Linked DNA regions of Xenopus tropicalis. The protein of the gene in region 1 interacts with the protein of each later gene in a pairwise test. Links are inferred from orthologs where the notes say so. Each region holds a gene or a part of one and is shown in the gene's direction. Other genes may lie near its edges.

The links.
Region 2: the proteins of wdyhv1 (region 1) and rbpms interact in binary tests that used the Homo sapiens proteins (3 or more experiments, as listed by UniProt). The two-hybrid records come from large-scale screens. The link is inferred for Xenopus tropicalis from reciprocal best matches to the Homo sapiens genes NTAQ1 and RBPMS.
Region 3: the proteins of wdyhv1 (region 1) and cda interact in binary tests that used the Homo sapiens proteins (3 or more experiments, as listed by UniProt). The two-hybrid records come from large-scale screens. The link is inferred for Xenopus tropicalis from reciprocal best matches to the Homo sapiens genes NTAQ1 and CDA.
Region 4: the proteins of wdyhv1 (region 1) and prps2 interact in binary tests that used the Homo sapiens proteins (3 or more experiments, as listed by UniProt). The two-hybrid records come from large-scale screens. The link is inferred for Xenopus tropicalis from reciprocal best matches to the Homo sapiens genes NTAQ1 and PRPS2.
Region 5: the proteins of wdyhv1 (region 1) and tollip interact in binary tests that used the Homo sapiens proteins (3 or more experiments, as listed by UniProt). The two-hybrid records come from large-scale screens. The link is inferred for Xenopus tropicalis from reciprocal best matches to the Homo sapiens genes NTAQ1 and TOLLIP.
Region 6: the proteins of wdyhv1 (region 1) and actg1 interact in binary tests that used the Homo sapiens proteins (3 or more experiments, as listed by UniProt). The two-hybrid records come from large-scale screens. The link is inferred for Xenopus tropicalis from reciprocal best matches to the Homo sapiens genes NTAQ1 and ACTG1.
Region 7: the proteins of wdyhv1 (region 1) and coil interact in binary tests that used the Homo sapiens proteins (3 or more experiments, as listed by UniProt). The link is inferred for Xenopus tropicalis from reciprocal best matches to the Homo sapiens genes NTAQ1 and COIL.

Annotation. Positions count from the first base shown.
Region 1 is NC_030682.2:139,824,729-139,828,830, forward strand, and holds the start of wdyhv1 (protein N-terminal glutamine amidohydrolase), read left to right. Parts: upstream 1-1,302; 5' UTR 1,303-1,480; coding exon 1,481-1,551; intron 1,552-4,102. Other genes in the region: atad2 (ATPase family AAA domain-containing protein 2), read right to left, coding at 646-831. UniProt on the Homo sapiens protein: Mediates the side-chain deamidation of N-terminal glutamine residues to glutamate, an important step in N-end rule pathway of protein degradation.
Region 2 is NC_030677.2:83,961,183-83,965,443, reverse strand, and holds the start of rbpms (RNA-binding protein with multiple splicing), read left to right. Parts: upstream 1-1,461; 5' UTR 1,462-1,752; coding exon 1,753-1,815; intron 1,816-4,261.
Region 3 is NC_030683.2:129,542,495-129,546,602, reverse strand, and holds the start of cda (cytidine deaminase), read left to right. Parts: upstream 1-1,308; 5' UTR 1,309-1,481; coding exon 1,482-1,653; intron 1,654-4,108. UniProt on the Homo sapiens protein: This enzyme scavenges exogenous and endogenous cytidine and 2'-deoxycytidine for UMP synthesis.
Region 4 is NC_030678.2:106,105,344-106,108,054, reverse strand, and holds part of prps2 (ribose-phosphate pyrophosphokinase 2), read left to right. Parts: intron 1-1,315; coding exon 1,316-1,489; intron 1,490-1,899; coding exon 1,900-2,059; intron 2,060-2,711. UniProt on the Homo sapiens protein: Catalyzes the synthesis of phosphoribosylpyrophosphate (PRPP) that is essential for nucleotide synthesis.
Region 5 is NC_030680.2:21,544,252-21,547,751, reverse strand, and holds part of tollip (toll-interacting protein), read left to right. Parts: intron 1-2,721; coding exon 2,722-2,871; intron 2,872-3,325; coding exon 3,326-3,500. UniProt on the Homo sapiens protein: Component of the signaling pathway of IL-1 and Toll-like receptors. Inhibits cell activation by microbial products. Recruits IRAK1 to the IL-1 receptor complex. Inhibits IRAK1 phosphorylation and kinase activity.
Region 6 is NC_030686.2:28,628,393-28,632,526, reverse strand, and holds the start of actg1 (actin, cytoplasmic 2), read left to right. Parts: upstream 1-1,334; 5' UTR 1,335-1,419; intron 1,420-2,793; 5' UTR 2,794-2,800; coding exon 2,801-2,923; intron 2,924-3,012; coding exon 3,013-3,252; intron 3,253-3,537; coding exon 3,538-3,976; intron 3,977-4,134. UniProt on the Homo sapiens protein: Actins are highly conserved proteins that are involved in various types of cell motility and are ubiquitously expressed in all eukaryotic cells.
Region 7 is NC_030686.2:52,253,180-52,256,599, forward strand, and holds part of coil (coilin), read left to right. Parts: coding exon 1-454; intron 455-3,420. UniProt on the Homo sapiens protein: Component of nuclear coiled bodies, also known as Cajal bodies or CBs, which are involved in the modification and assembly of nucleoplasmic snRNPs.

The DNA of each region.
Region 1 (4,102 bases):
ATCTTTAGAGACCCAGGAAGCCAGCTGTGCAGGAAGGCTTAGGTCCTATGTATGGAGGCCATTCCTCTGTCAGGGGAATTCTGGGAGTTGTAGTTTAAAGGGGAAGTTCACCTTTATATTAACTTTTAGTAGGTTACAGAAAGGCACATTTTAAGCAACTTTTCAGTTAGTCTTCATTGTTTATATTTTTTGATTTGCTGCCTTCTAACTTTTTGAGCTTTCAAATAAGGGTCACTGACCCAAAGAACTATTGCTCTGTGAAGCTACAGTGTTATTGTTACTTTCTAAATACTTATTACTTAATTTTTCAATTATGGGCCCTCCCCTATTCATGTATCAGTCTTTCATTCAAACCACTCCCTGGTTGCTAAGGCAATTTGGATCCAAGCAACCAAATAGGTGCTGGAACTCCAAGCTAACAAAAAAATGAAATTATAAAACTACAAATAATAAAATAATGAGAATATTTCTCTCTACGTCATACTAAAGGGTCACTTAGAGGTGGGCAACCCCTATCTATTTATCTACGTTCGTTAACTTGCCCGTATGTTACTGGGGGGCCAAGGACAATGCTCCAGAATACGGGGTACACCTCAGCCCCCTCGGAACACGCTGAATATAGCCAATAATATACCCATGACTTACTTGGCCAGACCGGGCCGCCCCATTGGTGCCGGTGTTCCTCTGAGACCTCCGTTTGCCCAACTCCGGGGACTCGTTCTGGGGCTCCAGACTCAGAAACTCGGAGCTGGCATCGAGCAGAGAGTCTTGCTCCCGGTAAGAAGGCCCAGCGCCGTTAGCCGTCCCCGTAGAGCTCCGAAGCAGCACCATGACCGCTCCCGCCGCTGATTACAACCCTCACAAACGGATCAGTCGGACGGGACAGCGATTCCAAATTCTGGCGCCACAAAACTTCCACAGCCTGACGCTCTCCCAGATCATATCCCTCCGCCGACTGTCTAAACTATGGTTTTCCTATTTCCAACACCAAGCGCCTTCCGTCAGCGCAGCTAATACTCTCTGCCCGTGTAAACCGTACGTACACGTGTATCGGCCGCGGTGCGAGCAAGTCGCTCGAGGAACTACTACATTCGGTTACACGTATACCGCGGAGGGACACGTTTGTTTTGGCGCGTCCGCAGTTTGTTTTTAGCGCGGGAACTAAAGGGCGAGTTTTGATTGGCTGAAACGTGAACACGTGTTTTACCCTTCGGCCGATGTTTTCGGCGAACGCAGGGACTTTACAGCGGCGACAACTGCAATATTTATAGTGACGTTGAATAATAAGGATTCGTTGTGTGTGGAAAAAGTGTTTGACTTGTGATTAGACAGTCGGGACCGGTGACGGCTTAAAGCCAGCTTAGGAGGGAGAATATAGTGGGTAGCAGTTTCCGGGGGAATGTTTAGGCTGTAGCACCCGGTGGCTTCCTTGTTATTGTGACAGCTGAATGGAAGGCGGCTGTGGTGCAGGGGGAGAGCTATGGAGCAGGCAGCCCAGGTCCCGTCCCTATTGCCGGGGCGCAGTGACTGTCACTATACCGGCTGCTACTGGTAAGCTTGGGGGGAAGGGCACAACTGGCCCTATAGGTTTATGGGTCCCCTCAAAACCAGCAGCTATGAGATTTTCTGCCTGCAGCCCTCCTACTCCTGTCTAAAGGCAATTCCATAATCCCCCCTATTATTATTATTAACATTTATTTATAAAGCGCCAACATATCCCGCAGCGCTGTACAATACCTCTGTAACACTTGTTTGGCTATAATATGGCCAACCCAGGCTAGTAGCGTGCTGTAGAGCTAAGTGGGAGGTATTAATGGAGCTGAGGGTGTTGTTGAACTACAACTAGCTGAGGTAGTGTGGTGCAATAGATAGAAATGGACGCCAGAGGATTCTTATGAATGAACTGGATAATACTTTATTTGTCCAAGACAACGGTATTCAGGGTATTCAATACTCAATAGATGCAGAACAGTATGCAGTTATACAGTTGATGTAAAATTGATAAATAGCAGAAATATGATGCTCCCCTGTGTATCCCTTCTCATCAAGAGGTTTGGGCAGGTAGAACAACAACAGCGTGATAGGTAGGAAAGCTCACCGGCATAGTCCCATGCTCTGGTGGAGGTTAGGGCAAGGCATATTTGCTAACCTATTCCCCTAGCACTTCTGTGTCCCTAATCTAAGGCCAGTAATGCCTGTTAGGAAGACTACTCCTTTGCTATTATCCTGGATGGAGCAAATGGCTGCTCGTTCTATATAGTTCTGTCTGAACTCACCACTCCTAGAGGGTGCTATGAAATATGCTGCTATACTGTCTTCTCCTCATTCACGGGGCCCTGTCCCCGACTTCAGATGATATAAGTGGCTTTTACTGGGGCCGTCTGCACCCAGGCTCAATGGACTGATGCCTGAGACAGGGGCAGCCAAAGAGGAAGACACTCCCTTGTGCAAGACACTATATAGTCTGCCAAGGGGAGTGGTCAACCGGACTAAACCTGTAGGGGATAGCTTAAAGGAACAGTAACACCAAAAAATGAAAGTGTATAAAAGTAACTAAAATATAATGTGCTGCTGCAACCGTAGCTATAGGCCGACTGCAGGGCTCGGAGTTGCCACAAACTGAGAGAGAAACACCTGTGTCTGTCGCCATATGGAAACCTAAATAAAATAAGATAAAATGAGATCTTGGAAATATTAACACTTAGGGCCAGATTCATTAAAGTATGACTCACGAAATCCAATAATTTCTGATCATTGCGAAAGTCACAAAATCTCCTTTCGTTTGAATACGAAAATTTCGTACTTACAATCCGAAATTTTTGTTTTGAAACGATCGTTTGTGATAGTCATGAAATTTTCGTATTCAAACGATCGTAAACGGTGGGAAAACCTTTCTGACTTTGATCCTTCAGTGCATGATTTTGGAAGCATCGCATAGGGCTCAATGGCACTCTGCAGCTCCAACCCGGCCCAAGGAAAGTCTCCCATAGGGCTCAATGGCACTCTGCAGCTCCAACCTGGCCCAAGGAAAGTCTCCCATAGGGCTCAATGGCACTCTGCAGCTCCAACCCGGCCCAAGGAAAGTCTCCCATAGGGCTCAATGGCACTCTGCAGCTCCAACCCGGCCCAAGGAAAGTCTCCCATAGGGCTCAATGGCACTCTGCAGCTCCAACTTGGCTCAAGGAAAGCCTCCCATAGGGCTCAATGGCACTCTGCAGCTCCAACCGGCCCAAGGAAAGTCTCCCATAGGGCTCAATGGCACTCTGCAGCTCCAACCCGGCCCAAGGAAAGTCTCCCATAGGGCTCAATGGCACTCTGCAGCTCCAACCCGGCCCAAGGAAAGTCTCCCATAGGGCTCAATGGCACTCTGCAGCTCCAACCCTGCCCAAGGAAAGCCTCCCATAGGGCTCAATGGCACTCTGCAGCTCCAACCCGGCCCAAGGAAAGTCTCCCATAGGGCTCAATGGCACTCTGCAGCTCCAACCTGGCCCAAGGAAAGTCTCCCATAGGGCTCAATGGCACTCTGCAGCTCCAACCCGGCCCAAGGAAAGTCTCCCATAGGGCTCAATGGCACTCTGCAGCTCCAACCCGGCCCAAGGAAAGTCTCCCATAGGGCTCAATGGCACTCTGCAGCTCCAACCCGGCCCAAGGAAAGTCTCCCATAGGGCTCAATGGCACTCTGCAGCTCCAACCCGGCCCAAGGAAAGTCTCCCATAGGGCTCAATGGCACTCTGCAGCTCCAACCCGGCCCAAGGAAAGTCTCCCATAAGGCTCAATGGCACTCTGCAGCTCCAACCCGGCCCAAGGAAAGTCTCCCATAGGGCTCAATGGCACTCTGCAGCTCCAACCCGGCCCAAGGAAAGTCTCCCATAGGGCTCAATGGCACTCTGCAGCTCCAACCCGGCCCAAGGAAAGCCTCCCATAGGGCTCAATGGCACTCTGCAGCTCCAACCCGGCCCAAGGAAAGCCTCCCATAGGGCTCAATGGCACTCTGCAGCTCCAACCCGGCCCAAGGAAAGCCTCCCATAGGGCTCAATGGCACTCTGCAGCTCCAACCCGGCCCAAGGAAAGTCTCCCATAGGGCTCAATGGCACTCTGCAGC
Region 2 (4,261 bases), on another chromosome or scaffold:
GCCAGCAGGAAACCTTTGTTACCCACAGACACCAAATCTGAAAATAGAATATTTTACATGCTGCGATTTGAATATAAGCGAGTCTGAGGGAAATATGTGCTCCTCACCTGGGCCTTAAAGTGAAGGCAAATCTCCAGAAAATACCCCTTTGCTCACATTCAGATTGCTGCATGTAAAATACATTACATCCAATGATCTGGCTTAATTGCAGAAAATTTCAAAAGATATTTTCCCGCGCTCAGAATGTTAATGAAGGTACAAGTATTTCTAGGAGATCTGCTTCCTGAGGTAGCCTAGATTTGCCGCAGGTGATAAATCTCCTTGTCTCCCAGTATCCTAAGGCCCATAGGGAGATTAGTCACCTATTGTTAGATTGCCACCAGCAATAAAGTAAATTGCCGATGGGAAGACATATGCATTGCTTTGTTTTGTGAAGTTGTGCTGTTTCCTCCTGCAGGGAATTCACATTTCTGGGATTAGTTCCCAAAATTTTAGGGAGATTAGTTGGCCGCGGTAGCCAAGATTTAACCGTGGCCAACTAATCCTCCTGTGGGCTATTGCCCTTATGGTGATGGCACATGTGGAAATTAGTCTCCAAAAAATGCTTTCCCACCAGCAATAATGTAAATCACCACTGGGAAAACATACGCTTTGCTTTGTTCTTCTAAAGTTGAACGTAATTTTCTCACAAAGAATATCCAGAAGATTAGACACCTGTGGTAGAGCAGATATATCAAGGGTGACTAATTCCTATGTGTGCAGTCACCCCTAAGGCTGAGGCACATGTGGAGTTTAGTCACCTACGATTTACATTACTGCTGGTGGGAAAGCATTTTTAAGAGATTAGTAAACTGTGATAAAGCAGATTTAGCTCAAATCTCCAGGTCTCATTGCCATGGCTCTAAGCTCCCTCTTTTGTGGAATCCTAACAACAACAAGAATAAATGCATAAGAGCGCATTATCTTTGCTGGTTCCTACATTGTGTACTTCGCACCTTGGTGTAAACCTCTGCCTAAATTAACCTTACAGGAAAGTGTTAAGATCTATCGCTACAAATTGAAATAATATAAGGAGGGTAAGGCGGCACCCAGAACATTCAGGTATACTTGCACTGTAATAGATCCTACTCACCACTAGCACCAAACACAGTGCTTATCACTCTTTCCGCCCCCTCCACTCTCTCTTTCTCTCACCCTGCTGCCGCTGCCTATTTTCTATCTCTCGGCATTTCACCCTTTGACCTTGTCTGGAAATCGTCAATTTCTGAAGACGCTTTCAAGCACGGCTGATTTTTTAACTAAGAAATTGGACCCGATACTGATTTTTTCTCTCACCAGCCCTCCCTGCTCTCTAAACAGAGCAGCTCCCCACCCACAAACTGGGAGTTTTGTAGTCCCGGCTCTGAAGTTGCTTTAAGCCCTTCCCCTTCAGAAAGCAAAGGCTGCTCCTAACCCTAATCACCAACAGTCACTCGCAATCCCCCTTTCCTCTCTCACCCCCTCGCTTGCTTTCCTTATCACTCGTACAAACCACAGACTTCCTCATCTTACTTTTAAGACAAAACTCTGAAAGAACAAGAGCTTTATTATAATATTTGGATCTAAATGATATGCTTTTCATTAAACTAACCAGTAACCTGACTGCTTGAAACTAAGTTCCAGTCTTTCTCCAGCACTTCCCAGTATAAGGAAAGCGAAAAGTCTGCACTGTAGAAACTGACATTCACAGAAGCCTCTGCCCAGGAGACCACAATGAACAGCAACATAGCTGAAAAGGAGGGCTCTCAGGATGAGATCAGCCTTCCAGAAGAAGAGGTAGGTGGCTCTAATACAACCGAAATATTTTACTCATTATCCCTAGTCTGCACATGGTGTTATCCACTTGTGATGCCTGCTGATCATTCCAACTCCTATAGTTTGTTGTATAAAAATGCTTTTTTAAATGTTTCTTAAAAAGCTGTAATATTGATCAACAGAAATGTAGTTCAGTATACATGTTTGTGTGTTTACAAATGCTAAGTAAAAGCAGCTTAAATTTTGTATATTATTACATACACACACATGTATACCTTGTTATCAGTCACTGTTTGTGTGTATATATGTAGTGCGGTACCATTTTGTGGGCTTGTTGTTTTAGTAAGTGAGCAACCCTGGCTGTAGTCCCACAGTAAGATTTGTTTCTGGGGATTTGACAGATTCTATGTGTGGCAATTTAGGTCCGACCTCAGGAGTCAGTCAGTCGCATCCTCATTCATCCTTTAGGAGTGATGAGCATATGATTACCCTGTGACTTGTCAGATTTCATTTGTATGGAAAGAGTTCACATTCATCAAAATTGTATGTAATTGCATGCCTTAACTTTCATGCTGACATTCTGATGTGATCAAGCTCATGCAGTGGAGGACCACTTTCTATAGTGTGAATGTGAGATTGGTATTTTTTTAATGGGAGAAAACGACAAACTTAATTATTCTGGTTTGTAGATCAGAACAATTGCTTAGTTCTAAACAGTCAATCACATCAGCTTTTGATTGGAAGCATGATCTGCACAACTGTTGTTTTGTGAGTGCAGCATACAGTAAATCTGTTGTTTAAACAAATGTGTTCATAAATTGTTCAATAAATCCTAGGTGTCTTGAGTTTCTGGGATTTTCCTTAAAACACGGGAAGTTGTAATATATGAGTTGCAGTTCTCATTGCTGTGTATTTTTTAGGTGGTACAAAATGGTCCTTGTTTTGTCAAAATAGTAATATTAAAATTAAAAAGCCATAACCCTCTCTCACAGTTGGGTCCTTGCATTACTGTGTAGAGGAAGGAAATAGTGTTGTTAAACAATACCTCTCATGCTGCAAACAAATAAGGATAATGGATACCAGTTCTCAAGTGTGAACTAGCTCCTGCATTTCAACTATGAGATGCCCTTTAGGGCTTGTAATTACTAGCGTTTGTTTCTGCGTTTCACCGCAGGGGTGCACAGAAACAAACACATTTCATACTTCCCCATGTGCCTATGTGGTCCCTCTTCTTTACTAGGGCCTTATTGTCCAAGACAGCCCAGCAGACATTCCAGCAGGTGGAGGCCAAAAGGCAAGAGCCATGTGATCCCGCTTACTATATTAAACATTACAGGAAACAATTATAACATCCGTGAACCAATAGGGAAAAACTATTCTACCCAGGTATCTAGGTTACAGGTGCCAGGAATATGCAAAAAGAAGGGAAATCAGGCTAGTAGGGGATTCACAAACCCACAGGGCATTTAACTTACAATTCAGTAGAAGATTCAAACATCTTGAGTGTGGGAATTTTGCTTTTTAGTACCAGTACTTTTTGACCATGCACCATTCAGTGTGCGGTTCTCCTCTGTGTTTCTCAAGTCCAGGCCCAGGACAGTTGCCTATAGTTTACATACACATCACACATTTTCTTGCAAATTCGTCAATATTGGTATTTTTATATTCACTTCTTGTGTCAAATTTTCAGGTTTAACAAAATTGCATGCTAGTATGAAGATCAGCTGTTTTAAAAAAGGATTCTAGGAGCAGCTGCATTTTCCTCTGAACAGTAAGTGGAACATGCAAAGGACACTGGCTCCCTTAACAGCATTGTTTTGTCCTTGGAATAGTTGAATTCAGGTATACTGTTAGTGGCATGGTAGAACAAGGCAAATGATTAATAAATGTTTCAGTTGTTTGTAAAATAATGTGGAGAGTTTTTGATGCAAACAAAATATATATATATATATATATATATATATAAAATCACAAAATTTGGTAACAGGCACTCACAATACAGAGTCAAGGATGCCTGGGTGCAGTCCAATACGAAATAGTAAAACACAAAATAGCCGGTACCGCACTCACAGGTCTTATATAAAGATATTTATTCAAAAAATCGTGTCTAACGTTTCGGCTGCCATTGCAGCCTTTCTCAAAAAAGAAAGGCTGCAATGGCAGCCGAAACATTAGACACGATTTTTTGAATAAATATCTTTCTATAAGACCTGTGAGTGCGGTACCGGCTATTTTGTGTTTTATATATATATATATATATATATATATATATATATATATATATATACAGGATCTCTAATTTGTAAACCTGATATCCAGAAAGTTCCAAATTACAGGAAGGCCGTCTCTCCTACTGCCCATTTTAAGCAAATAATTCCAATACTTTAAAATTATTTTTTCTGTAATAATAAAATATTACCTTTTACTTGATGGTAACTAAGCTGCATAGATCCATAATGGTTGCAAA
Region 3 (4,108 bases), on another chromosome or scaffold:
GTCGTCGGCGGGCCGGATTAAAAAGGCCAAGGGGCCGGATGTGGCCCGCGGGCCGTAGTTTGCCCACCCCTGGTGTAAGGGGTGGGGTTAGGGGGGTCAGTATATGGGAATTGGGGGTGTTTAAGGGGTGGGGTTAGGGGGTCAGTATATGGGAATTGGGGGGGTTTAAGGGGTGTGGTTAGGGGGTCAGTATATGGGAATTGGGGGGGTGTAAGGGGTGGGGTTAGGGGGTCAGTATATGGGAATTGGGGGGGTTTAAGGGGTGGGGTTATGGGGTCAGTATATGGGAATTGGGGGGGTGTAAGGGGCAGGGTTAGGGGGTCAGTATATGGGAATTGGGGGGGTGTAAGGGGTGGGGTTAGGGGGTCAGTATATGAGAATTGGGGGGGTTTAAGGGGTGTGGTTAGGGGGTCAGTATATGGGAATTGGGGGGGTGTAAGGGGTGGGGTTAGGGGGTCAGTATATGGGAATTGGGGGGTTTAAGGGGGGACTTTCCCCTGTCCCCATATACTGACCCCCTAACCCCAGTATATGGGGTCAGTATATGGGGACTGGGGAAAGTCCTGTCTCTCACAGTCTGTCTCTAATTTTCTCTCTCTTTTACTTTCCTTCTTAATCTATTTCTGTCTCTTTCTTTGTCTTTCTCTCTCTCTCTCTATTATTCTTTCTTTCTTTCTTTCTCTTTTCTCCCTCTCTATTGCTTCCCCCCTCATCTTCTTGCTTTTTCTTTTTCCCTCTCTCTCTATTTCTTCCGCCCCTCTCTCTCTCTCTCTCTCTCTCTCCCTATATATATATTTCTTTCTTTTTTCCCCCCTCTCTCTTTCTTTCTTTCATCTTTTTCTTTCTCTTTTTCCCCCTCTCTCTATTTATTCTCCCTTCTCTCTCTATTTATATATTTCTCCCCCCCCATCTCTTCCCATTGCTCTCCAGGAATGCCCATATTCCAGCCTGGGCACGGTGACATTCTGGCGGTGGCTCTGGATACACACGGAGTGACGTGACAGGACAGCACGTAGCCGGAGAGATGACTGTACTGAGTCAGAGCAGCAGTGACGGGCAGCCATGCAGGAAGCCGGAGTCATTTTGTTCCACCAATGAGGTCACACAGCACTGCAACCTGTCACTCACCCTCCCTGCCTCCCTCCCCATGAACAAACCCCTGCCCCTGGGTGAAACAGACAAGATACAGAGGAGGAATGCAGGAGGGCTGAGGCCTGGCCAATCAGAGAGGAGCCACCCTGAGGAATTCAGCACCATACAAATAGTGAGGCACGGAGGCTGCAGGATACACACACCCACAACTACAGGACACAGCTGCCAACAGACACCTACAGCCAAGGAGCCAGGGGGTTAATGCACCCAATCACTAAAGTTTATTCACTGGCCCTCACTGGCAGCTACTGACCCCCACAGACCCACTGCTGAGACTTTAGGGGACACACTGATACCCACAGAGGCTTCCCCACTCCTGAGTGCCAGGGATGGATGGGAATAGCAACTGCCATGATAACGGATGTATAACCAGTCTAGAGACTGAACTCATCCAGAGACTCGTTGCCCAAAGCCACGAAGCCAAGCAGCGAGCCCACTGCCCCTACAGCAAGTTCCGAGTGGGGGCCGCACTCCTGACCGCGGATGGGAAAGTCATTCTGGGCAAGTACCGCTCTCTCTCTGCCAACTCTCTCCTACTTCTGGCTTTGTACTGGCTGAGTGTCTTTTTTTAACTTCCGCTGCTATGTTACTTGCTATTAATCCTCATTTAATGTGCCAAAGGGAATTACTGGTGCAAAACTTTAGACTTTATTGAATGTGTGTCTTTTTTCAACCTCAGCTACTGTGTTAAATATCTCTTCATCCCTCTCTGGCCCTGGAAATGCTCATTCAGTATTTTGAAACTAACCCCAAACTCTCACTGCCCCATTAGCTTAGTATCTTATCCTCCAGCTCCGCAGTTTTGCCCTCCTACAGATATGTATTCCATGGATTAAAGGGTAAGTTCATCAAATCAGACTTACCTGACTGTTAATAGCATCAGTAGCTTTTTCTCCTGCAGTACCACTTGTGACCAGTAGCCAGGTAACTTTTTTATGAAGAGTCTTCCTTCTTTTAATTAGTTTGGCTTCTCTACACTTTAAAATAGCCAAATGCCCCTTGCCCCCCCCCCCCACAAATAATGCTGAAGGACGGAAGCACATATATATATATAGCATTCCCACCCTTCCAGCTGTGCCCATCGTGCCTGCGCTGTGTAGGGCACTGTGTTTGGCAGCAGCTGTGGGGCAATGTCAGGAGCAGCTGCTCGGGTGTTGGAGGCAAGAACTCACATGATTGTGTGAAGGGAAAGGGACAGACACAGTGACAGTTACACATAACTATAAACCCAGTGAGAATGAGGAATGAATGGATATTGGGGAGTTGTATCAGGAGTCAGAACCAGCAGTGCAGGGAAGGGAAAGGGACAGACACAGTGACAGTTACACATAACTATAAACCCAGTGAGAATGAGGAATGAATGGATATTGGGGAGTTGTATCAGGAGTCAGAACCAGCAGTGCAGGGAAGGGAAAGGGACAGACACAGTGACAGTTACACATAACTATAAACCCAGTGAGAATGAGGGATGAATGGATATTGGGGAGTTGTATCAGGAGTCAGAACCAGCAGTGCAGGGAAGGGAAAGGGACAGACACAGTGACAGTTACACATAACTATAAACCCAGTGAGAATGAGGGATGAATGGATATTGGGGAGTTGTATCAGGAGTCAGAACCAGCAGTGCAGGGAAGGGAAAGGGACAGACACAGTGACAGTTACACATAACTATAAACCCAGTGAGAATGAGGGATGAATGGATATTGGGGAGTTGTATCAGGAGTCAGAACCAGCAGTGCAGGGAAGGGAAAGGGACAGACACAGTGACAGTTACACATAACTATAAACCCAGTGAGAATGAGGAATGAATGGGTATTGGGGAGTTGTATCAGGAGTCAGAACCAGCAGTGCAGGGAAGGGAAAGGGACAGACACAGTGACAGTTACACATAACTATAAACCCAGTGAGAATGAGGGATGAATGGGTATTGGGGAGTTGTATCAGGAGTCAGAACCAGCAGTGCAGGGAAGGGAAAGGGACAGACACAGTGACAGTTACACATAACTATAAACCCAGTGAGAATGAGGAATGAATGGATATTGGGGAGATGTATCAGGAGTCAGAACCAGCAGTGCAGGGAAGGGAAAGGGACAGGCACAGTGACAGTTACACATAACTATAAACCCAGTGAGAATGAGGAATGAATGGATATTGGGGAGATGTATCAGGAGTCAGAACCAGCAGTGCAGGGAAGGGAAAGGGACAGACACAGTGACAGTTACACATAACTATAAACCCAGTGAGAATGAGGGATGAATGGATATTGGGGAGATGTATCAGGAGTCAGAACCAGCAGTGCAGGGAAGGGAAAGGGACAGACACAGTGACAGTTACACATAACTATAAACCCAGTGAGAATGAGGAATGAATGGATATTGGGGAGATGTATCAGGAGTCAGAACCAGCAGTGCAGGGAAGGGAAAGGGACAGACACAGTGACAGTTACACATAACTATAAACCCAGTGAGAATGAGGAATGAATTGATATTGGGGAGATGTATCAGGAGTCAGAACCAGCAGTGCAGGGAAGGGAAAGGGACAGACACAGTGACAGTTACACATAACTATAAACCCAGTGAGAATGAGGAATGAATGGGTATTGGGGAGTTGTATCAGGAGTCAGAACCAGCAGTGCAGGGAAGGGAAAGGGACAGACACAGTGACAGTTACACATAACTATAAACCCAGTGAGAATGAGGAATGAATGGGTATTGGGGAGTTGTATCAGGAGTCAGAACCAGCAGTGCAGGGAAGGGAAAGGGACAGACACAGTGACAGTTACACATAACTATAAACCCAGTGAGAATGAGGAATGAATGGATATTGGGGAGTTGTATCAGGAGTCAGAACCAGCAGTGCAGGGAAGGGAAAGGGACAGACACAGTGACAGTTACACATAACTATAAACCCAGTGAGAATGAGGAATGAATGGATATTGGGGAGATGTATCAGGAGT
Region 4 (2,711 bases), on another chromosome or scaffold:
GTTGTGCATGTAAATTTCTTATGTATTTTGAAGTAGTAGCGGCATTTCTATGTTTAACCTCTTCTTATCCATTGTGTAACCATAGCCCTGTTAAGTTTATTGGCAGTTTATATAATTCATACTTAACAGCTTCCAAAATACATGTATTTCCAAACTGCAGACTAATGTTGACTATATACACTAATATCTGCCAAGACACGTAGATCTCTGGCCATCAAGGAGGTAGGGAAAGGTGGCCATACATGTTAAGATCTGCTTGTTTAGAAAGGTCACCAATCTGCCTGTGTATTCCCACTTTTAGATTGTACTGATCCATCCGATTTTCAAACAGACCAACAATTGGACTACATAGAGATATGCAGACCCTTTGGGAGAGGACCATACTTAAGGCCTGATGTACTCCTCGCCCTTTAACCTGGCACATTTGCAGACTGAAAACTGTTTGAGACAGCCTGTTAATAAGCCCTCTCTGTATATCAGCAAATCTTTGCCCCATATCTAGTAACCCATTGCAAGTCAGCAAGTGCCATTTACTGTTGTTTAAAAGAAGATATAAGACTAGTTGCTGTGGGTAACTAGACCTTGTACAGTTCATAAGCTTTTCTAGATTACTACCAGTGATTTAAAGGGACAGTATACACCTAAAACACCTTTGTTAAAGAATGTTTTGCTAATAAATAGAACTTGTGTTCTTTCAGTTTTATTATTTTAATTATAAACAGGGTAATTTGCTCAGAGTTTCTTAGCTGCATTTAAACAAGCACCTCCCTTCCCTAAAATACAGCCTTTATGCATCATTGGAGGGACTTTTTTTTTATTATTGTTTTTTTGTGGTTTTTACACTTAATGAATTAAAAAAAATTTTAGTTTTTGATCAATTATTAAAACACAATTTTTAGTGCTAGTTAGTAAAGCTGGCCCATTTTGTGTTACCACCAAACCTTTATGAGGGTATAGGTATGATTAATTTTTGCTATGCTTTCAAGACTTAGGTGTCTACCCTATATATTAAATACTGAAACATTTGCATGCTGTCTAAGTGCCATCTAGTGGTAGGCCTTAACGGAGCACCAATTAATAATGTGGGAGGTATAAATGTGATTCTAGACTGATATTTCATTAATTCTTTAGTGTATTATTTGGCGTTCAGCATAAATTAAAAATATGATTTAAGAAATCCTGAAGCAAAACAAAACTCACATACCCCTTTATCAAAGCATACCATTTGCATTTGTTTGCTTTAGATATCAGAAAACTGTATTTTTTTCTTTTGTTCCAAACAGTTCTTATTTTTTTCCCCCAAACTCAATCATAGGGTGACGTCTATTGCTGACCGGCTAAATGTGGAATTTGCCCTCATCCACAAAGAAAGAAAGAAAGCTAATGAGGTGGACAGAATGGTGCTTGTTGGAGATGTAAAGGATCGTGTTGCTATCCTAGTAGATGATATGGCTGATACATGTGGCACCATATGTCATGCTGCTGATAAGTAAGTCCTGTTAAGAAACACCTTTTCAGTGTTAAATAAAAATAAAATTGTATTTAAAGAAGAACTAAAGCTTAAAAAAGAAGTAAGCTAGAAATACAACACATTTTTATGTTTGTTAGCCCGAGGAGGCTAAGTGAAGATCTGTGCCAGTGAAGATGTCCCCAGTAGCCCCCTGATTTTTTATTTTCTTTGATTCATAGCACATGCTCTGTGCTTCTGTCAGTAACCTGAGCTTAGGGAACTACTTACAATATACAGTATATATACAGAAATACAAGATTTAATGCATAAAAGCATATACAAACATGAATTTTTATTTTTTATGTAATTTTAATGTCAGTATGTTGATAGAGAATATCCTTCCAGAAGTCATTGTTCATGTTATGTCTGTTTTATTTCATCTTCTGCAGATTACTTTCTGCTGGAGCAACAAAGGTCTATGCAATTTTAACACATGGAATTTTCTCTGGTCCCGCAATCTCTCGAATTAATAACGCAGCATTTGAGGCTGTAGTGGTAACCAATACAATTCCACAAGAAGATAAAATGAAACAGTGCTCCAAGATTCAGGTATTATGCCCATATAGTTGTTGCACCAATATTCATATATGTGCCCTAAAGTTGAAAGATTTTGGCCTGAAAAATGCGAAAGCTGATATTTTTTTCGGTCCAATCTCCACTCTGTATAGGTGCATTCACACCGATGCTGTGCTTGTCAATGGAGCTACAGGAAGTTGCTGATTACATTAGATCAGCTTCTCTTTACCTGCAGGCGTAGAGAAGCATTTGACATGTGTGCCTTTGCTGTGGGCTTGCTGTGAAAGGAGAAGGAAGAAAGTAGTTTTACTTTCATTTCTTTCATTATTATTTTCCTTTCTATGTTTTAAAGCCCTCTCTTCTGCCTCTTTCCTTGAGAATGGTTGATTGAAAAATGTAAAGTCCATGCTTCTAATTGCTCTTCTAAAAGCTAATCTCAAACAGGGGTAGTTTTTATCCTGGTGTATTTAAAGGTATCTACATTATGTGAATTAATGTGCACTTATTCAGTGTTTAGACTGCTAATTGCAGGCATTCAAGTCAACAGCTGTCCTTGACCCTACTTGTCTGTACTTTCTATGTACGCCATGTATTCAGTTAGCTGGCTCTCCATTGAGCCCAAAGGCCTGGTATAAGCAGTCTAAAAATGCAAATCAAATATCTCTGTAGCTGCTAAAAATGGAGC
Region 5 (3,500 bases), on another chromosome or scaffold:
TGATATCTCCCACTAACCCCCAAGGCTAATCCAGGGCAGCTGTTGCAGCCGCACCTTTAGTGATTCAGACTGGAACAATTCAATCGTTGAGACCAGTTCACCTTTGATTTTAGTGCCTGGTACAAGTAAGGAGCTTCTCCTACCAGCTGGAGGATAGCACTTGTTTTGTTATAAAAACACTTTACAGTTGAGGATTACCGCATATATTTTAGCTTGGGAGCAGGGTTTCTATATAGTAAAATGATATTGGTGCTTGGCAGTGCCCTTGTTGGTTGGGTATGGTTAGAGAACATGACCAAATGGTGGGGTTGTAGAGGCGCTGGGTAGGAGGGTAGCTGCCCCATTTCTCCAGACCCTTGCAAATCATGTGAAAATGCCTTCTTATGTAAAGTGTTTTACACATGGCAAATATTAATGAATCCGGATGGTAAGGTATTTTCTGGCAATTTCTCTTTTGCAGGACTGGCTATTTCCCACAGGTTCCAAATCGCTTCTTTTGCCATTGTACTTAGGCACAACAGGAAATGATTACAGTCAATAGGCTGGCCATATCTATACCTATAAAATATTTGTATGCTTTTTGGTATGTGTATGTTGGATGGACTATCACAACTTAAATCCAAGGTACAAAGATAATGGTCGGAAACAGACAGGTTTGAAAATTTAATCTGCCGATGTACAGTGTTGGCCGATGTATGGTGCTGTTCAGCTGAGCGGCTGATAGGTCGGAGAGTGTTTTGCTGCTTTTCCATCAAGGCTAAAACTGCAAATTGAGTCACTACTGGGTAGAAAGACACCTTTATATTAACTTTAAATTATGTTAAAGATGGAACTGTTTCAAGCTATTTTTTCACTTGGCCTTCACTTGCTTATCTTTCTTTTAAGATATTTTCCTACTGATCTTCCATTCTAACTTTTAAACTGCTGCCTGATTGCTATGGTAATCAAGCCCTAGCAACCATGTAGAAAATTTCAATTGTGGAGCAATTTTGGGGGTTTTGTGTTCATTGTTATATGACAAGGCACTCGCTCCTTATTTATTTGAATGGTATTTGCTTGGAAATGCAGCACTGCCCTAAATGCTTATGTGTTAATTAATGGGCTCAAGATAGAATCTGTGACCCCTTGGACTCGATAAGCTGTCATAAATATGACTGATCTCTCAGCCATAAAGCTAAACCCTCCCCTATTTAATCATTAAACCTTTTCCATCATTCATTTCAATACCTTCCCCACTGCTGAAAGTTCCTGGTTCTTTCCAAGCACAGATACAATTATTAGATTGCAGTCTTGACCATTTAGTGTATATTGTAGAAGAGGCAATGCAAGTGAGTAGTAGAGGAAGGGCAGAATGAAGTAGAACAGCTGGACCAGCCCCATTCAGCCCCATTCATCCTTCTGTGAGTATATTGCATTACACTGATCCAAGGGCAGGCATATGCTACGGCACACTTATTATGTGTATGATACATTGAGCATATAGGCTCTTTAGCATAAACAAACGTTTATTACTATTCTCCTCTTTCAGGGCCGCACCCGTAGGTGTTTTAGCTGTCACCCATGCCATGTTGCAACAGCTCAATCATGAGCTCCCAGAGTTTAAAGGGACACATATAATAGTTTAAAAACATCGTCCACAGTGCCCCAATTTCCTGGGGATGACACTGGGACAGCCATTCGATAATCCCTGTTTTGACTCACTAACTCTGTGGAATGTCTACTCTGGGTTTCTGATTATTTTACTATTTTTTGGCAGTGATGGTGGACTTGAGGCACAGACGGCTGGCTGTATGATCTTTCACAGCTACAGGCAACACACAGACTGCCTGACCTTAATGTGCGCTTTATGGTCCCTAAGTGTGCTCTAGGCAAAAGGTCTAGATTGGGGTTTAAACTATGCCCTGGCAAGCACACAGAGGCCTAAAAGGCCCTCGGCCTGCCCAATAAATAGTGACTGTCTGTGGCAGGGGTCCCCAACCTTTTTTACCCATGGAAGGTCACACTGAAATGTAAAAAGAGTTGGAAAGCAACACAAGCATGAAAAATGTACCCTGGGGTACCCAATAAGGGTTGTGATTGGTTGTTTGGTAGCCCCTATGTTGACTAGCAGCATACTTCTGTTTGTCAGTACACATGGTCTTTATGCAACCAAAACTTGCCTCTAAGCCAGAAATGCAAAATTAAGCAGCTGCTTTGAGGCCACTGGGAGCAACATCCAAGGGGTTGGTGAGCAACATGTTGCTCGCGAGCCACTGGTTGGGGATCACTGGCCTATGGCATCTTAAAGCATCCCCTCTGGCATTTGCCAGAACCCACAGATTGCAAGTCTGGGTCTGGTAGAAAGAGTAAAGGGGTTCAGCAGCAAGCAGTGATAATAGGAGCAAAGTGTTGTCCTTTCACCTGTGTAAATTAAGCCTATTTGTGAACATATATGTATCGGCCCAATCATTTGGCAGAAACATCATCCCATGTATATCTGTCTTTAGCTATGAAAGACTGTCGTTGGGCCCAGGTTCTTTGTAGTAGAACTGGGTGTGTGAAATTGATGCTTTTGTGAATAGTCATTTCCAGGCCTTTGCAATCAATGTCTCTAGTGATCAGTTACTGGAGATGGTGGTTGGATGCTTTCAGTGTCCTTTCCTGTTAGAAGTAATACATAATATGTTAAAAATGCATCATGCCATTTATGGCTCACTATTATCCTTTCTCTTTGGGTTTTAGGTGTTTATTGGGGAACTGCCCCAAGATTTCCTGCGCATTACCCCTACCCAGCAGCAGCAGCAGATACAGTTGGATGCCCAGGCAGCACAGCAGCTACAGTATTCTGGAGTTATGGGGACCATGGGCCGACTCAGCATTACTGTGGTGCAGGTAAGCAATACCTGGGACCCCAGGGTGATACACATGCCTCATATCAGCCACTACAGCATACATGTGCCAAGCCTCTCTTTTGTTTTTATATCAGTCACAATAGGCTTCTGTCATTTCTGAAGCACTATTATATACCGCAGAGATGTTCAAGTGGGAAATTAAAGTGAATCTCAAGCACTAGTGGAATATTTTCTGTATACCCACAGAAAGCTCAGTAAGAGGTCAGAGGATCCAGAGAGAGAGATTGTACTCGCTCCAGCGAAGACATTAGCTCCAGACCTCAAATGCTTGTTTATAATTGTATTCTGATGCCAGCATATTGTCATTTCTTCTCCTGAGGGTTCATGTTTAGGGAAAAAACAGGAGTCTTCCCTCTCCCCATATCAGTGGATGCCCTTTGTATTATTCTAGAAAAGGTTCCGACTCACTGACTTGCCTTTACTTTTGCTCCCAGGCTAAGCTTGCTAAGAATTATGGAATGACCCGGATGGACCCATACTGCCGGATACGTTTGGGATATGCAGTGTATGAGACGCCTACTGCTCATAATGGGGCTAAGAACCCACGGTGGAACAAAGTGATTCAGTGCACAATTCCTCCTGGAGTTGATTCCTTCTACCTAGAAATAT
Region 6 (4,134 bases), on another chromosome or scaffold:
GTGTGATGTTGCCCCTCCTGAACCCCAAAATCGACTCCCTTCCCCAGTAGAAGCAGACAGTCAAGAGAACTATCAGCTCAAATTGGGCAGATCAGTATAGGTAAGTGTACATTCTGCACTTATAGTTTATGTTTCTGAACAGATTTATACAGAGACCATCCCAGTAACGTACCATGAACTTTGTTTCACCATAACAACATTTTCTGCATGAAGCCAAACACATGACTGTCACTATACAGGATATTCTGCAAGTAAGCTTCCCTCTAACAACTGCTGCAATTCCTAAGCCATTCCCTCTCTATATGTGTAATGTCTATTCCAATTTGTTCCGAACATCTTTAATGAATCTGTCTTTATAATCTGGCAATGTACCCACCAAGCAGCCCTTGCCTTCAGGGATTGTTCTTTAGAAAGTTCTGTTTAAGGTAATGTGACATGCAAGACTGAGCTCACTTCCCAGCAGTCCCACCCTGAATGTATTCCTTCCATCTTAGCCCTAAAGGGAGAATGCTCAAGCACCTGAGGCTTCAGAGAATACAAAATAAAGCATTTCCCAGCAAGGTACCTAAAGGGGGTATGTAGTAGAACCACGCCCTTTAATATCCTGTCTATAGGCAATCCATGCATTTGTGTTATATCTATATAGGGTTTAGCCCATGTATCACTTAGCACTTTATTTACAAAACTCCCTGGGCTTGGAATTCGACCAGATCCCACTCTAATTTTAGATAAAGAAATAAAAATAAAGTTTCAAGGATGTAATGTGTTCCTATTGGGTATACTGTAGGAAAATGCACACCCTCTGTATAAGGACAATGAAACACCTAAGGAAAAAAACATGACCTTAAAAGGTATTTCCATCCTTCCCTTTGGCCATAGTGGCACCACGCTCGCCTGCTATTGTTAACTACGCTTCCCAGCAACCTCCGCTACCCCAGTAATCCGTATCTCACTGTCCCACCGCATAAGAACTTGAGAGTTAGAAATCCCCGGACTACGATGTTTCCCTGTATTTTACAATACATTTTAGAGAAATGTTTCAAGTAATAGTAACATATATGTGCAAGGGTAGCGGCTTTCCTGCTCTAACACGGCCAGGCCTTACACGCCTCCCTATTGCTCATAAGCGCATGTAACTTCAGGGGTTCCGGGTGGACGTAGGGCCAGGACTCCGGTCCCGCCTCTTCTCCCAACCAAGCAACCAATGGCGAGGCGTGTTTCTGAAAGATGCCCATATTTGGCGATCTTCTGTCTGTGCGGCAGCAGGCGGGGCTGGAAGCCTGTGACGTTAAATAGAGATAACGGCCGCTACTGGGTTCTCATTCAGCCGGTGGCAGCGGACTTGACAGCTACTTCCCGCTCTTTGTAACAACTTGCCAGCTTTGCATTTCTCCTCTTAAGGAAACCTCCAGCACCAAGGTAAGACCTTAGACAATGTCTTACGGCTGTGTGTGGGTGGTGGGCGGAAGAAGTCTTATGGGGTACCGTTGGCCGGGATAGCGTGTGGTAGTGTTCTGTCTATATATTGTTACATGACCGTATTGTCTGTGGCTTGGATATTTGTAAGTCTCCAGTAATGCACGCTTAACTTGTTCTCCTAAAAAGCTGCTGTTGATCTTAATGTGTTACAATGCCCTGCGATATTCTATTTTAAAATAGGCATATTCTATATACATATCTGGCCCTTGTCATACTTCTGGTTACCCTGGGTGCCGAATGATGTTAATATGGCTATGTACAGAACTATATGGCTCTGGTGTCAGTCGCCGTTCGGAGGTGGCTTCCCTCCCTTATGGCTAGAAGTTTGCGCGGGTTTCCCTGCGATAGCATGACGGGCTGCACCATTCTAAAGGGTAGGGGTGAAGCTATTTCTCGCCTCCCCCCCCCAGTTACTTGTATGAGTCACCCCACCTCTGTTGGCCACGCCCACGAGTTTGAAGCTTGTAGCTTTTTGTTTCAGCGGCAGGGCGTGGCTGCTGCATTCTGCTTCCATATTAGGGCAAGAGCTCTGTGATTGGCTGAGCGAGCAGTCAGGGCAGATTTAAACATCACACCAGTTCTAGGGGTGGGGCTGCTGTTCATTAGCCGGTACCGGCTCCTGCGTTGTATAAAGTAAGGGCGGGGGTTAACACTAGGGCGAGTCAGAGAAATCTATTCTATTATGTTTATTTATAACTATATTAAATTAAAGATTCTGCAGTATGGGCAGCTGTTCTTAAATACAAATAACTTGGGTGATTGTGTGCTTTACATCCTGTCATTTTTGTAAATGTTCTATATTGCTTGGATAGCTACACTGTATTGTTAGCCTGACAGCTGAAGTCTTGTAGCCTTTTTGTGTTTTTTTTTTTTTTTTTTTTGTGGTGTGCCCTTTCCCTATTGAGGGGAATAACAGGGCGTGACTGGCTGTACCACTTGCCTCAAGTCTTTAGCCTATGAAAAGGGCTGCCTTAGCCTTTCATTAAACGATTATCTAATCATAGAAGTGTTGATTGTGTTACTATTAATGCTGTTAATCAGCTGTGGGATATTCCCTGTTACCTTGTACAGCTTTCAGTGTACAAACTTTCCACATAATTCATGATTAATCTTTTTACTTAAGAAACAAGTGTTTAACGCTTGTCGCTCATGGTAGGGTGGGGCTGAAGTGGATTAAACGGTTACTATGCCTTACTGTTGGTACACTTGCCTACAAATGGCTTAGCTGTGTACGGAGTGAGGTTGTGGCTACTGACTGAGATAAATAGCCAGTCCCTTATTTTGCTTATGATGATCTGTTTGTTTACCACACAGAAATAAAATGGATGAGGAAATTGCAGCACTCGTCGTTGACAATGGCTCTGGAATGTGCAAAGCCGGCTTTGCTGGAGATGATGCTCCCCGTGCTGTGTTCCCCTCTATTGTTGGACGCCCAAGACACCAGGTATATATAAGTGATGCTTTAATCCTTCATCCAGCAAATGCAGCTTAAATTTTTTTTCTTGGGCTGACTTACTGTTCTTTTTGTTTTAGGGTGTAATGGTTGGTATGGGCCAGAAGGACAGCTATGTAGGTGATGAAGCCCAAAGCAAGAGGGGTATCCTTACCCTTAAGTATCCAATTGAACACGGAATTGTTACAAACTGGGATGATATGGAGAAGATTTGGCATCACACCTTCTACAATGAGCTTCGTGTAGCCCCTGAAGAGCACCCAGTCCTGCTTACAGAAGCTCCCCTGAACCCCAAAGCCAACAGAGAAAAGATGACACAGGTTTGTTTTCAGTGGAAGGCCCAAATACACTTATTTTGGGGTAGTTCTTGTACACTTCATTCTTATTTCTCAAACTCCAATTTTCTTTCAATATTTTCAGGGCTCTGTACCTCTCCTGGCATTTCCCTCCTGAAGTCTCAGGTTTCTGTTTCATTGGTTTATTTCTGCTTGTTCTGTTTTTCTACACATCTATCTCTTTGTTTTGCATGATGGCATGCTGGCATGGTTTGGGGTTCTAACTCGTCTTGATTTTTAGAATTAACATTGTTCTCATGTATCCCTTAGATCATGTTTGAGACTTTCAACACCCCAGCTATGTATGTCGCCATTCAAGCTGTGCTGTCTCTGTATGCCTCTGGTCGTACCACTGGTATCGTGATGGACTCTGGAGATGGTGTCACCCACACAGTACCCATTTATGAAGGTTATGCCTTGCCCCATGCTATCCTGCGTCTGGACTTGGCTGGTCGTGACCTGACAGACTACCTCATGAAAATCCTGACCGAAAGAGGCTACAGCTTCACCACCACAGCTGAGAGAGAAATTGTGCGTGACATCAAGGAGAAACTCTGCTATGTTGCTCTTGACTTTGAACAAGAGATGGCAACTGCTGCATCCTCCTCATCCTTGGAAAAGAGCTACGAACTGCCTGATGGACAAGTAATTACAATTGGAAATGAGAGGTTTAGATGCCCAGAGGCACTCTTCCAGCCTTCCTTCCTGGGTGGGTATCTGTTAAGACGTTGCATTTCATCTGACTAATAACTCTTCCTCCTGAACATCTGGTCTAGGTAGTAGGTCCTGTTTCCACAGTACACTGTATAGTTGCTAAAGGTGACTAAAGTGACTAAAGTGAACCAAGTATAAGTAAGAATGGAACTT
Region 7 (3,420 bases), on another chromosome or scaffold:
AGGGCAGCGCCAAGCCAGTGCCAGGGGATCCGTGTCTGTGCCCCCCAGGGCTGTGAATGGAATCTCTCCTGGGAAGGGCAAGAAGCCAGAACCCCCCATCTCTAGTTCTGATACAGACACTGCCTTGGGGGTCCCGGGCATCGACACGTCTGTTTGTCCTGCCCCACTGCAGGCTCCGCCCTCTCCTATTCAGCAGCACTCGCCCCCCCCTGAACGTGTACTTACAAAGCCCAGTGTATCGCTGCCTGTTTGTGGTCGGGGCATGGGCAGAGGGAGGGGAGACTTTTCATGGAACGGGCAAAGGGGGCACTGGTTCAGGGGTAGAGGTGACAATAATAGCAATCGGGGGAGAGGCCGGGGAGATTCCAGTCAATTCTTCTATAAATACAGCGCAGATACCGAGAAGCAGCAACAGCTCCAGGAACCTGCAACTAATGTCTCCATGGTCATACAGGTACAGTTTGGGCCTAGGGGGGACCGACCCATAAACACGTCGGTGCCATTAGTACAGTTTGGGCCTAGGGGGGACTGACCCATAAACACATCACTGCCATTAGTACAGTTTGGGCCTAGGGGGGACTGACCCATAAACACGTCGGTGCCATTAGTACAGTTTGGGCCTAGGGGGGACTGACCCATAAACACATCACTGCCATTAGTACAGTTTGGGCCTAGGGGGGACTGACCCATAAACACGTCGGTGCCATTAGTACAGTTTGGGCCTAGGGGGGACCGACCCATAAACACGTCGGTGCCATTAGTACAGTTTGGGCCTAGGGGGGACTGACCCATAAACACGTCGGTGCCATTAGTACAGTTTGGGCCTAGGGGGGACTGACCCATAAACACGTCGGTGCCATTAGTACAGTTTGAGCCTAGGGGGGACTGACCCATAAACACATCACTGCCATTAGTACAGTTTGGGCCTAGGGGGGACTGACCCATAAACACGTCACTGCCATTAGTACAGTTTGGGCCTAGGGGGACTGACCCATAAACACGTCACTGCCATTAGTACAGTTTGGGCCTAGGGGGGACTGACCCATAAACACATCACTGCCATTAGTACAGTTTGGGCCTAGGGGGGACTGACCCATAAACACGTCGGTACCATTAGTACAGTTGGGCCTAGGGGGGACTGACCCATAAACATGTCACTGCCATTAGTACAGTTTGGGCCTAGGGGGGACCGACCCATAAACACGTCGGTTGCCATTAGTACAGTTTGGGCCTAGGGGGACTGACCCATAAACACGTCGGTGCCATTAGTACAGTTTGGGCCTAGGGGGGACTGACCCATAAACATGTCACTGCCATTAGTACAGTTTGGGCCTAGGGGGGACTGACCCATAAACACGTTGGTGCCATTAGTACAGTTTGGGCCTAGGGGGGACTGACCCATAAACACGTCGGTGCCATTAGTACAGTTTGGGCCTAGGGGGGACTGACCCATAAACACGTCACTGCCATTAGTACAGTTTGGGCCTAGGGGGGACTGACCCATAAACACGTCGGTGCCATTAGTACAGTTTGGCCTAGGGGGGACCGACCCATAAACACGTCGGTGCCATTAGTACAGTTTGGGCCTAGGGGGGACTGACCCATAAACACGTCGGTGCCATTAGTACAGTTTGGGCCTAGGGGGGACTGGCCCATAAACACGTCGGTGCCATTAGTACAGTTTGGGCCTAGGGGGGACTGACCCATAAACACGTCGGTGCCATTAGTACAGTTTGGGCCTAGGGGGGACTGACCCATAAACATGTCACTGCCATTAGTACAGTTTGGGCCTAGGGGGGACTGACCCATAAAACATGTCACTGCCATTAGTACAGTTTGGGCCTAGGGGGGACTGACCCATAAACACGTCGGTGCCATTAGTACAGTTTGGGCCTAGGGGGACCGACCCATAAACACGTCGGTGCCATTAGTACAGTTTGGGCCTAGGGGGACTGACCCATAAACACGTCGGTGCCATTAGTACAGTTTGGGCCTAGGGGGACTGACCCATAAACACGTCGGTGCCATTAGTACAGTTTGGGCCTAGGGGGGACTGACCCATAAACACGTCGGTGCCATTAGTACAGTTTGGGCCTAGGGGGACTGACCCATAAACACGTCACTGCCATTAGTACAGTTTGGGCCTAGGGGGGACCGACCCATAAACACGTCGGTGCCATTAGTACAGTTTGGGCCTAGGGGGACTGACCCATAAACACGTCACTGCCATTAGTACAGTTTGGGCCTAGGGGGGACTGACCCATAAACACGTCGGTGCCATTAGTACAGTTTGGGCCTAGGGGGGACTGACCCATAAACACGTCCGGTGCCATTAGTACAGTTTGGGCCTAGGGGGGACTGACCCATAAACACGTCGGTGCCATTAGTACAGTTTGGGCCTAGGGGGGACTGACCCATAAACACGTCACTGCCATTAGTACAGTTTGGGCCTAGGGGGGACTGACCCATAAACACGTCGGTTGCCATTAGTACAGTTTGGGCCTAGGGGGGACTGACCCATAAACACGTCGGTGCCATTAGTACAGTTTGGGCCTAGGGGGACTGACCCATAAACACGTCACTGCCATTAGTACAGTTTGGGCCTAGGGGGGACTGACCCATAAACACGTCGGTGCCATTAGTACAGTTTGGGCCTAGGGGGACTGACCCATAAACACGTCGGTGCCATTAGTACAGTTTGGGCCTAGGGGGGACTGACCCATAAACACGTCGGTGCCATTAGTACAGTTTGGGCCTAGGGGGGACTGACCCATAAACACGTCGGTGCCATTAGTACAGTTTGGGCCTAGGGGGGACTGACCCATAAACACGTCGGTGCCATTAGTACAGTTTGGGCCTAGGGGGGACTGACCCATAAACACGTCGGTGCCATTAGTACAGTTTGGGCCTAGGGGGGACTGACCCATAAACACGTCACTGCCATTAGTACAGTTTGGGCCTAGGGGGGACTGACCCATAAACACGTCGGTGCCATTAGTACAGTTTGGGCCTAGGGGGGACTGACCCATAAACACGTCGGTGCCATTAGTACAGTTTGGGCCTAGGGGGGACTGACCCATAAACACGTCACTGCCATTAGTACAGTTTGGGCCTAGGGGGACTGACCCATAAACATGTCGGTGCCATTAGTACAGTTTGGGCCTAGGGGGGACTGACCCATAAACACGTCGGTGCCATTAGTACAGTTTGGGCCTGGGGGGACCGACCCATAAACACGTCACTGCCATTAGTACAGTTTGGGCCTAGGGGGGACCGACCCATAAACACGTCACTGCCATTAGTAGAGTTTGGGCCTAGGGGGGGACTGACCCATAAACACGTCGGTGCCATTAGTACAGTTTGGGCCTAGGGGGGACCGACCCATAAACACGTCGGTGCCATTAGTACAGTTTGGGCCTA